3 linked regions of the Macaca fascicularis genome follow. The protein of the gene in region 1 interacts with the protein of each later gene in a biochemical or structural test. Links are inferred from orthologs where the notes say so. Each region holds a gene or a part of one and is shown in the gene's direction. Other genes may lie near its edges.

Region 1 (3,434 bases):
CCATTTTCCAGATGGGGAAACAGAGGCATAAAGAATCTAACTTGCACAAGTTCATCTGCTTAGTGACAGAACCAAGATGTGAATTCAGGCAGTCTGGCTTCAAAGTCCACACTCCTAACAACCGTACCAGATTACCAGATTGTTTTTTTTTTTTTTTTTTGAGATGGAGTCTCGCTCTGCCGCCCAGGCTGGAGTGCAGTGGTGAGATCTCAGTTCACCGCAACCTCTGCCTTCGGGGTTCAAGCAATTCTCCTGCCTCAGCCTCCCCAGCAGCTGCGATTACAGGCGCCCGCCACCACACCCAGCTAATTTTTGTAATTTTAGTAGAGATGAGGTTTCACCATGTTGGCCAGGCTGGTCCCAAACTCCTGACCTCTGGTGATCCTCCCACCTCAGCCTCCCAAAGTGCTGGGATTACAGGGGTGAGCCACCACACCCAGCCCAGACTGCTTTATCTTTGTATTTGTATTTATTCATTTACTTATTTTGAGACAGGGTTTTGCTCTGCAGCCCATGCTGAAGTGCAGTGGTGCAATCCAGGTTCACCAAAGCCTCTACTCACCAGCGTTCAAAGGAGCTCACCAGCGTTCAAAGGAGCCTGCTGCCTCAGCCTCCAGAGTAGCTGAGGCCACAGGCGTGCACACCATGCCCAGCTAATTTTAAAAAAAATTTTGGTAGAGGTAGGGTCTCACTATGTTGCCCAGAATGGTCTCAAACTCCTGGCCTCAGGGGACCCTTCTGCCTTGGCCTCCCAAAGTGCTGAGATTACAGGCATGAGCCACGCACCCGGCCCCTTTTTAAAAATTTTTTTAACAGGTCCTTGCTCTGTTGCCTAGGCTAGAGTGCAGTGGTAAGATCATAACGCACTGCAGCCTCGAACTCCTGGGCTCAAGCACCAGCCTGCTTTATATCACATTCCATCTCACACGCTTGTGATTCCAATCCTGCCGCTGCCACTTCTCAGTTGTATGCCCCAACCCAACCTGCCTGGCTCTGTCCTCCTTAACAAAAGAACGGCCCTGGCCACGGGTCACAGTCGGCAGCTCTTAAGCACCAGGGCCGGCGAGTGCCCTGCCGTGGCACGGCTCCAGCTTCGAGCTCTCGAACTCATTTGTTTTCCTTAACGAGAGAAGGTTCCAGATGAGGGCAGAACCCTCTTCGCCCCGCCCACGGCCCCTGAACGCTAGGGGAGGAGTGCATGGGGAGGGGCGGCCCTCAAACGGGTCATTGCCATTAATAGAGACCTCAAACACCGCCTGCTAAAAATACCCGACTGGAACCGCATAAAAGCGCAGCCGGGCCCAGCGCCCCGCACTTCTCCGAGCAGACGTCCAGAGCAGAGTCAGCCAGCATGACCGAGCGCCGCGTCCCCTTCTCGCTCCTGCGGGGCCCCAGCTGGGATCCCTTCCGCGACTGGTACCCGCACAGCCGCCTCTTCGACCAGGCCTTCGGGCTGCCCCGGCTGCCCGAGGAGTGGTCGCAGTGGTTGGGCGGCAGCAGCTGGCCAGGCTACGTGCGCCCCCTGCCCCCCGCCGCGATCGAGAGCCCCGCGGTGGCCGCGCCCGCCTACAGCCGCGCGCTCAGCCGGCAGCTCAGCAGCGGGGTCTCGGAGATCCGGCACACGGCGGACCGCTGGCGCGTGTCCCTGGATGTCAACCACTTCGCCCCGGACGAGCTAACGGTTAAGACCAAGGATGGCGTGGTGGAGATCACCGGTGAGTCCCCCTGGTCCTGCAGAGGAGGGGAGGAGGCTAGCGGGGCGGGCAGGGCCGGGGGAGGGGTGCGGTTGAAACGGGGGTCCCGGGGGCCTGGGGAGTTAAATGTTAGCCCAGCACCGGGAAAAACAGGATCCCTGATTCCTCTGCTCAGGAATTGGGAGTGCAGGTCGCTTCTAAGGGCGCTTTGTGCTCTGTAATCCCAGCGCTTTGGAAGGCCGAGACGGGAGGATGGCTTGAGGCCAGGAGTTCAAGACTAGCCCGGGCAACATAGCGAGACGCCCCCCAACACTACAAAAAAATTAAAAAGCAACCAAAAAAATTTTTTAAAAGACCATCAATGAAGAGAGAAAATGCACCTTTCCACAGAGCCCCCTCCCCACCCACAACCCCATCCCCAGATAAGCGGGTTCCCTGTTTCTAGCCGCGGAGAGGGCGTGCGTGCGGCTCCAAGTGCGCCTGGGCACTGCTCACTCCCCAGCTCGGCGCCCTGCTCCATTCCTCCCAAAACTCTGAATCGAGGAACTTTCCGGAAGTTTCTGAGAACCCGGACAGGCGGGCACGCCCCCACCCCCAACCCCCTCCGTTAATCCCTGCCGGCCTGCAGTCCTAGCTGCTTCCAAGCAGGAGGTGGGGCCTCTGGCCTGGCGGGGCCGAGAGGCGGTCCCCTCCCCCATAGTCTGATTTCCCTCTTTCCCCAAAAGGCAAGCACGAGGAGCGGCAGGACGAGCATGGCTACATCTCCCGGTGCTTCACGCGGAAATACACGTGAGTCCTGGCGCCAGATCGGGGTGGGTGGGGGGCGGGGGGCGGGGGTCAGGGAGGAGGGCACAGGGACCCACCCAGTGTGTAATGTAACGCTCGCCTTCTCTCTCTGCACGTCCAGGCTGCCCCCCGGTGTGGACCCCACCCAGGTCTCCTCCTCCCTGTCCCCTGAGGGCACACTGACCGTGGAAGCCCCCATGCCCAAGCTAGCCACACAGTCCAACGAGATCACCATCCCGGTCACTTTCGAGTCGCGGGCCCAGCTTGGGGGCCCAGAAGCTGCAAAATCTGACGAGACTGCCGCCAAGTAAAGCCTTAGCCCGGATGCCCACCCCTGCTGCCGCCACTGGCTGCGCCCCCCCACCCTCAACCTGTGTGTTCTTTTGATACGTTTATCTTGTTTTTCTCAAATAAAGTTCCAAGTAACCCACCTGTCACTGGCTCAGACCCTGGTATTTGTGGAAGGAAGCCTCAGGCACCTGCCATTTGCTGGCTTCCACAAGTCACCTTTACTCAGGGTGTACTGTGTGCCCAGCCCCGTGCTGGGCCATGTTGGTACACTGATGTAGGTTGCTGGACACGGGCTGACTCACATAAAGAGAGGTCGTAGGGCCGGGCGCAGTGGCTCATACCTGTAATCCCAGCCCTTTGGGGGGTTGAGGCAGGAGAAGTGCTTGAAGTCAAGAATTCTAGACCAGTCTGGACAATGTAGTGAGACTCTGTCTCTAAAAAATAAAAATTAGCCAGGGTGTTACTGCATGCCTGTAGTCCCAGCTACTCAGGAGGCTGAGGCAGGAGGATCGCTTGAGCCCAGGAGTTGAAGGGTGCAGTGAGCTAAGATCGTGCCATTGCACTCCAGCCTGGACAACAGAGCAAGATCCTGTTTCAAAAAAACAAAACAATCAAAAGCTCAGAAAGAGTGAGACCCTGTCTTTAAAAAAAAAAAAAAAAAAA
Region 2 (3,647 bases), on another chromosome or scaffold:
GTGCAGTGGCGCAATCTTGGCTCACTGCAACCTCCACTTCCAGGTTCAAGTGATTCTCCTGCCTCAGCCTCCCAAGTAGCTGGGACTACAGGTGTGTGCCATGATGCCCAGCTAATTTTTGTATTTTTAGCAGAGATGGGGTTTCACCATGTTGGCCAGGATGGTCTTGATCTCTTGAACTCTTGATCTGCCCGCCTCGGCCTCCCAAAGTGCTAAGATTATAGGCGTGGGCCACCGCACCTGGCCAAGATTAGGATGTCTTTTATAAGAGCTTAGGTGTAACTGACTGGCTATAGGCTGGCATGAGCCCGTAACTAGGCTAGTAAGTGGCAAATAAGAGAACAGCAAGGTTTCCATAATCTGCCCCTTCTTTCTCCCCTTGGCTCTCCCTTCTTACTTCCCCACAGTGACCATGAGGGTGGCAATGTAAGTGCCCATACCAGCCACTTGGTGGGCAGTGCCCTTTCAGACCCTTACCTGTCCTTTGCAGCAGCCATGAACGGGCTGGCAGGGCCTCTCCATGGACTGGCAAATCAGGTAAGACTATTCTTTTTTATTTTCCTGCTACATGTTTTCCTTACCCCATGCTTTGTTTCTGATCTTGGCATTGTCTCCTGGCATATGTATTAACATGCCCTTTTTCCCCAAACCTTACCCATAGGAAGTGCTTGTCTGGCTAACACAGCTGCAGAAGGAAGTTGGCAAAGATGTGTCAGATGAGAAGTTACGAGACTACATCTGGAACACACTCAACTCGGGACGGGTAAGCAGAGATGCTTAATGACTAGGAAAGAAACCAAGACCCAAGTTCTGCAATTTGGAAGAATTAAGAAGAAAAGAATGAAAGAGGTCCCTAAATTAGAGATTTTTTTTTTTTTTCATTTATCTACCTTGAAGAATTTAGAACAGAATTTCTAGTTGGGCACAATGGCATGCACCGGTAGTCCCGCCTACTTGGGAGGCCGAGGCAAGAGGATTGCTTGAGGCCAGGAGTTCAAGTCTGAAGTGTGCCAAGATCACTCCTGTGAATAGCCACTGCACTCCAGCCAGGACAACATAGCAAGACCCTGTCTCTAAAAAAAGATTTTAAATAGGTCGAGTGTGGTGGCTCACGCTTATAATCTCAGCACTTTGGGAGTCCAGGGTGGGTGAATCGCTTGAGCCCAGGAGTTTGAGACCAGCCTGAGCAACATAGACCCTAATCTTTTTTTTTTTTTTTTTTTAAAGACAGAGTCTCGCTCTTGTTGTCCAGGCTAGAGTGCAGTGGTGCAACCTTGGCTCACTGCAACCTCCGCCTCTCGGGTTCAAGCGATTCTCCTGCCTCACCCTCTCGTAGCTGGGATTACAGGCATGCACCACCATGCCCAGCTAATTTTGTATTTTTAGTAGAGACGGGGTTTCTCCGAGTTGGTCAGTTGGTCAGGCTAGTCTCGAACTCCCAACCTCAGGTCATCCGCCCACCTCAGCCTCCCAAAGTGCTAGGATTACAGGCGTGAGCCACCGCACCTGGCCAGACCCCATCTTTACCAAAAAAAAAAAAAAAGCCAGGTGTGTTGGTGTGCACCTGCGGTCCCAGCTACTCTGGAGGCTGAAGTGGGAGGATTGCCTGAGCATGGGAGGTCGAGGCTGTCATGAGATGTGATCATGCCATTGCACTTCAGCCTGGGTGACAGAGGAGTGAGATCCTGTCTCAAAAAATAAAAGAATTTCTACTGAGAATACTATCTTTTTTCCCCACTCTTTACAGGTTGTTCCAGGCTATGGCCATGCGGTACTGAGGAAGACTGATCCACGATATACCTGTCAGCGAGAGTTTGCTCTGAAACACCTGCCTAATGACCCCATGTTTAAGTTGGTTGCTCAGCTATACAAGATTGTGCCCAATGTCCTCTTAGAGCAGGGTAAAGCCAAGAATCCTTGGCCCAATGTAGATGCTCACAGTGGGGTGCTGCTCCAGGTAAGTCCTCCTTTCCCTCTTTTCCCTCTAATTTGTACCAAACCCTATTGTTATCTGTCATGAACAAAGTCAGTTAACTCCTAGTCAGAGCAAGGACTTCCTTCACAGAGCATTTTGATAAAGTTGACTATGACAGGGTTGAGGGTTGGGGTTGCTCTGTTTTCAGAATCCCAATTGCTATACTTTTCTCAGTGTCATTTCTATTTAAGGTTGACTGGGCTAAGTCCTTGGAGAAAAACAGAAAATTGAGCTTTTAAGGTTTCTATCACCCAGGACTTGTACATGCCACTGTCTCTGCCTCTGCCTTAAACCCTTTTTCTCTTCTACCTTACAGTATTATGGCATGACGGAGATGAATTACTACACGGTCCTGTTTGGGGTGTCACGAGCATTGGGTGTACTGGCACAGCTCATCTGGAGCCGAGCCTTAGGCTTCCCTCTAGAAAGGCCCAAGTCCATGAGTACAGAGGGTCTGATGAAGTTTGTGGACTCTAAGTCAGGGTAAAACTGGAGACTGGGGGAAAGTGACTACCAGAAAGTGAGGAAGCCTAAATAAAAAGTATACTTTTGTTTCAGGGGGCCTTTAAAGACATAAGATTAAATTATATCTGAGGCACTGATAATATGTTTGAGGTTAAAATATAAATTAAGACTTTAAAAGATGAAAAATGATCCCTTCTTCCCTAATCAGCTCCCTTCCCCTGCCTGGTATGAGTTGCCCATCACAGGGGTGGTCCTGGAGGATGACGGGGACTAATGCCTGTGGTATGAGTAGGTTTGGCCCCCTCACTATCTCTAGAGTGAGAATCTGCCTCCTGTTTCCATGGGTCAAAGCCAGTTGCAGAGAACCTGCAGTCACTTCGGAGCTTTAGCTTCTTCTCTGCCAAGCCCTCAATAAGCCAGCAAACCAGGACTCTGCCCCTTCTGTTTCCATAGGAATCGTGTTGGATAGTCAGCTGTACCAAGCCCCTTGGCACTCTCCCATACACACAAACACTTTCTAGCAAGACCTGTTGGTTAGCTGGACGTGCTTTGGCAATTTTTTTATACTATCAAGTGACCATAAAGGCATGGCATTTGTTGTGACTGGCACCCAATGTTTGATTTCTTTTTTAAAAAACTATCCAATTAAGGTCTGGGAGTGTTCTGTTTCCCATTACTTTAATACTCACCTCCTCCTCCCAGACTTTCTACACCTGTTGCACCTCAGGCTGAGGATGTTCTGGACCACCCCTCTTGGTCCCTGCTAGAGACCTCTCAGATCTGTGGGCCCAGTCATTGGGTTTTATCAGTGCTTAATGTGAACTAAGTTTTTTACTTCCATAGAATACAAGCCACTATCCTCTGATCTCCCCACCCGCCACCAACCCCTGTCTTTTAACATGCTGTGGGGCATAGAACAGGGACTCAGGAATGACCAGCATGATATTTTCAGGGTCTTGTCCCTAGGGTAATAGCACCTCTTTTTGAACAGATAATTGATTCAAGATTGGACATGGTCTCCTCTGATTATCAGGTACTGGGGCTGAGGGCATTAAAAATAGTAAACCTCCCTCCTCGTCCCCTGCCTCAAGAAAATGCCTCCTTATTTATCAATATCCTTTTCCTCCCTTTCCCTGAGAGCTCACAGTACAATGTTTGTTTTAGAAGCCCCATTTGCACAGGTTTTCAGCAACTCAGAATGCTCTAC
Region 3 (3,647 bases), on another chromosome or scaffold:
AGATCCAGGAAAATTCTGGCTGTGGCCTGTGAGCTGAATGACATCACAGCAGCTCTAAATATATATGTGATAAAAGGCTGCCATCAGCTCGGGACGGAGCCCAACCGCGGTTGTTTTTCTCTAGTTTTTGTCTTCCTGGGATTCATATTCAGAAAGCGGGCAGGCATTTCCTCCTAACCTGGAGGGACAAAGGGTACCAGTCACCTGCCTTGTGGGAGAGAGTCACTAAAGCCAGGGCTTGGAGGTGTGCACATACTCATGTTTCCTGGAAAAGTTCCTTGCCCTTCTGCAAGTGGGCAACCCCCAGATCTGAAAATGCTCCTCGCCAAAACTGCCCCCTAACCTGAGAGTGGGCTGATGACAGAGGGCTTTTCTTCCTCAGAAGAGGTCTTCCTGGAGGGCTGCTGAAGGGGTGGGAAGCTCCCTGAGATAGTTGAAATGGCACTCTGTTAACTAGGATGTGTTTTGCAGTATTTTAACTTAGAAATCTTCTAGCCTACCCACCTCATTGCACAGGGAAGACAGGCCCCATGGATTGGTAGCCAAGCTGATGATGGAATGCAGAGCCTTGCCCCTGGTTCCTCCTTGCCTGTGACCTAGGCTGTGCATTCTGGGAGGCAAGGGACACAGGACAGCTGGCAGGCCAAGACCCTCTCACCTACGGCAGTTTCCCACCAAGCCCCAGACTGGCCTTCTCTTATTTCACCAAGGTTGAGACTGGCAGAGGGGCCCAGGCCCAAGGGAGCTAGGGGTATGTCTGAAAGTGGTTGATTTTTTTCCGGGAGCTTTCTCCTCCCCCAGCTTCACACACGTGCTGCCTTTCCAAAAGGTGCCAGACGCCAGTCTGCTCTGCCCTACCTCCCAGCCCAGGTACCTGCTCCCCACCTCGCCCAGGCTTCAGGCTTCTGCCTGGGCTCTAAGACCCTTGGGTCTGAGAGCCCTGATGTCCCTCTGCCCTGGCAGCCCCTGAGGTCCTGGGTCCAGAGAAGTATGACAAGTCATGTGACATGTGGTCCCTGGGTGTCATCATGTACATCCTGTGAGTACCTTCCCCACCTCCTGCCTCCATCTTCTGTCCTCACCCCCACTGTGAGCCCTCAGGACCACTTCTGTCCCCCTACCCCCATGTCCTTGGTGAGGGGCTTGTGTGTGTCACTCCTCATGCAGGCTGCCCTTCCCTTTTGGTCATGGGACACCACTCCTTCAGGTGCCTGAGGGTCTCCCCATGCCAAGGGCTGATGGCATTCCTGGGATATGCCTGGGAGTCTGGAGGGCTGGTATTATTGCCATGGTGTCTGGTTGCCTGTCTCCCCAGTCAGGGACTTTTGAGGGGAAATGGGTCTACCCTGGCACTGGTCCCACCCTATGCCAAATGACTTACCCCTTCCCCCAGCCTTTGTGGCTTCCCACCCTTCTACTCCAACACGGGCCAGGCCATCTCCCCAGGGATGAAGAGAAGGATCCGCCTGGGCCAGTATGGCTTCCCCAATCCTGAGTGGTCAGAGGTCTCTGAGGATGGTGAGTGAACCTCTCTGTCCCAGCCTGGCCCCTGCAGCTTTCATTCTGGGAAACATCACTTTGGTGTCAAACTGACCTGTGTTCAAATCTTGGCTCCCCCTCTTCCCAGCTATGGGATCCTAGGCAAGTCCCCTAACCTTCTTGAGCCTCAGTTTCTACATCTGTCAAACAGGCTCAAAACTTGCTTCCTCAAAACTCCCTCTAACTCCTATTCCTCATTCATATTTTCCCTTCTGAGGACCACAAACAAGGCTGCCCTGTATGAGTTATCTACTGCTGCTTAACCAGTTATCCTGGACACTTAGTGCTTCAAAACAAGAAATAGTTGTTAGCTCACTCTTTCTGTGGGTTGGGAATTTGGGAGCACATGCAGCCCCTGCCTCAGCAGAGCTTGTGGTCTATGGGGAAGGGTGGAGGGGCTGGCTCTGAGGAACTCTGCAACCTCACCTCTCCCCTCTCTTCCCTGGCCTCCCTAGCCAAGCAGCTGATCCGCCTCCTGTTGAAGACGGACCCCACAGAGAGGCTGACCATCACTCAGTTTATGAACCACCCCTGGATCAACGTGAGCCCCTCCTCCTCCCATGGCAGGCAGGGTGTCCAGCCGGAGTGGGACTGCCGGGCAGGAGGGTGGTGGCTCTGCTTTGAGGCCCCAGTACAGGGCTGGAATGGGCCCATGCGCACAGGTAGATAGTAGGGCCTCACCTACAACCTGGCTTTGCCACTGCCCCATTGAGGGTCCTTCCGCACCCCAAGCCTTAGTTTTCCCATCTGAGACTCGGAGAAGGGGATGGAGTTGGGGGAACCAGTGCTGTCCCAGGTGCCTCCAGTTTCTAATCCATGGGCATGGGGCTCCTTCCAGCAATCGATGGTGGTGCCACAGACCCCACTCCACACGGCCCGAGTGCTGCAGGAAGACAAAGACCACTGGGACGAAGTCAAGGTGGGTGGGCTCTGCCTCAGTCTCACTACAGGTGCCAGGATTTGGGCAAAAGGGACTTCAGGGGGGTGGCTACCCAGAGTCTGGGGTCTTTGGCCCCTTTCTATGCCTGGAGGACAGGATGTCAGTGACTGTCACAGTGGTCCAACCATGGCACTCCAAGGATTGGGCCTCACTACCCCATTCAGTGTGGTGCTCCTGGTGTACTTTCTCAATGAAACAGGGCTTTGGTACCAAGCTTGAATGATGACCTCTCTTATAACCAACAACATTTGGGAGGGTGGTCAGCCTGGTTTAGACCCAGCAGAGGCCACATTTGAATATATGGGGTAGCAGCTCCAGTGGCACAAACTCCACGCCCCAGTGTGCTGGTTGCCCAGCGAGATGGCATTCTCTGAAGGTCTTGTGGTTCTGTGGTGGAAGTGGTTTAGTTCACTATCCCACTTACCCTTGGTGTGGTCCCAGGGAATAACTCTCCTTTTGTGCCTTTGTGAAGAAGCTCAGTGTCTGCCACTGAGGACTGTAGTGCGGTCCCTCATGTGATGCAAAGGGCTTGGCCCAGTGCTGGGCACACAGTGGGCACAGAAGCAGCACAGGCTGTCACTGACACTGTTAAGGGGCTGCCCAGGCAGGGGGTGATAGTTCCTAACGTCAGTACATCCTGACCTCTTAGTGCCCCCCATCCTGTCTGTCCCCAGGAGGAGATGACCAGTGCCTTAGCCACTATGCGGGTGGACTACGATCAGGTGAAGATCAAGGACCTGAAGACCTCTAACAACCGGCTCCTCAACAAGAGGAGAAAAAAGCAGGCAGGCAGCTCCTCTGCCTCTCAGGGCTGCAACAACCAGTAGCTCATGGGACCTTGGAGGAGCCTGGCCTCTCAGCCTGCATGACAGACTGGAATGTGCTGAGGCCCTGGCCAGGAGGGCCCAGGGTCATTCTTTTAACAAAAGGATTATTTTGTTGTGTTTTAATTTGTCACTTGGAACTTCAGGATGGAGGACCCTGACCCTAAACCTCCTTCAGATCTCTGGCCCAGGCTCAAGCCCTAGAGACGGGCAGGGCCTAGGGGCTGGGAGCTGCCTGCTGCCATAGCAGCACCTTTAGCCAGGATGGCCTGAGTGAGGCCTCTGTGCTGTCCTGCCCTGGTCCATGGCCTTAGCTTTCTAGGCCACTGGGAGTTGTGGCTGGG

Evidence for each region.
Region 2: the proteins of HSPB1 (region 1) and CS form a complex in vitro, tested with the Homo sapiens proteins (2 studies listed by BioGRID). The link is inferred for Macaca fascicularis from reciprocal best matches to the Homo sapiens genes HSPB1 and CS.
Region 3: of the proteins of HSPB1 (region 1) and MAPKAPK3, one has a biochemical effect on the other in vitro, tested with the Homo sapiens proteins (2 studies listed by BioGRID and IntAct). The link is inferred for Macaca fascicularis from reciprocal best matches to the Homo sapiens genes HSPB1 and MAPKAPK3.

What each region holds. Positions count from the first base shown.
Region 1 is NC_088377.1:51,430,795-51,434,228, reverse strand, and holds HSPB1 (heat shock protein beta-1), read left to right. Parts: upstream 1-1,311; 5' UTR 1,312-1,351; coding exon 1,352-1,715; intron 1,716-2,419; coding exon 2,420-2,483; intron 2,484-2,601; coding exon 2,602-2,791; 3' UTR 2,792-2,914; downstream 2,915-3,434. UniProt on the Homo sapiens protein: Small heat shock protein which functions as a molecular chaperone probably maintaining denatured proteins in a folding-competent state. Plays a role in stress resistance and actin organization.
Region 2 is NC_088385.1:63,071,722-63,075,368, reverse strand, and holds part of CS (citrate synthase, mitochondrial), read left to right. Parts: intron 1-407; coding exon 408-537; intron 538-661; coding exon 662-763; intron 764-1,747; coding exon 1,748-1,957; intron 1,958-2,291; coding exon 2,292-2,462; 3' UTR 2,463-3,647. UniProt on the Homo sapiens protein: Key enzyme of the Krebs tricarboxylic acid cycle which catalyzes the synthesis of citrate from acetyl coenzyme A and oxaloacetate.
Region 3 is NC_088376.1:113,680,545-113,684,191, forward strand, and holds part of MAPKAPK3 (MAP kinase-activated protein kinase 3), read left to right. Parts: intron 1-963; coding exon 964-1,039; intron 1,040-1,393; coding exon 1,394-1,518; intron 1,519-1,994; coding exon 1,995-2,080; intron 2,081-2,377; coding exon 2,378-2,458; intron 2,459-3,153; coding exon 3,154-3,306; 3' UTR 3,307-3,647. UniProt on the Homo sapiens protein: Stress-activated serine/threonine-protein kinase involved in cytokines production, endocytosis, cell migration, chromatin remodeling and transcriptional regulation.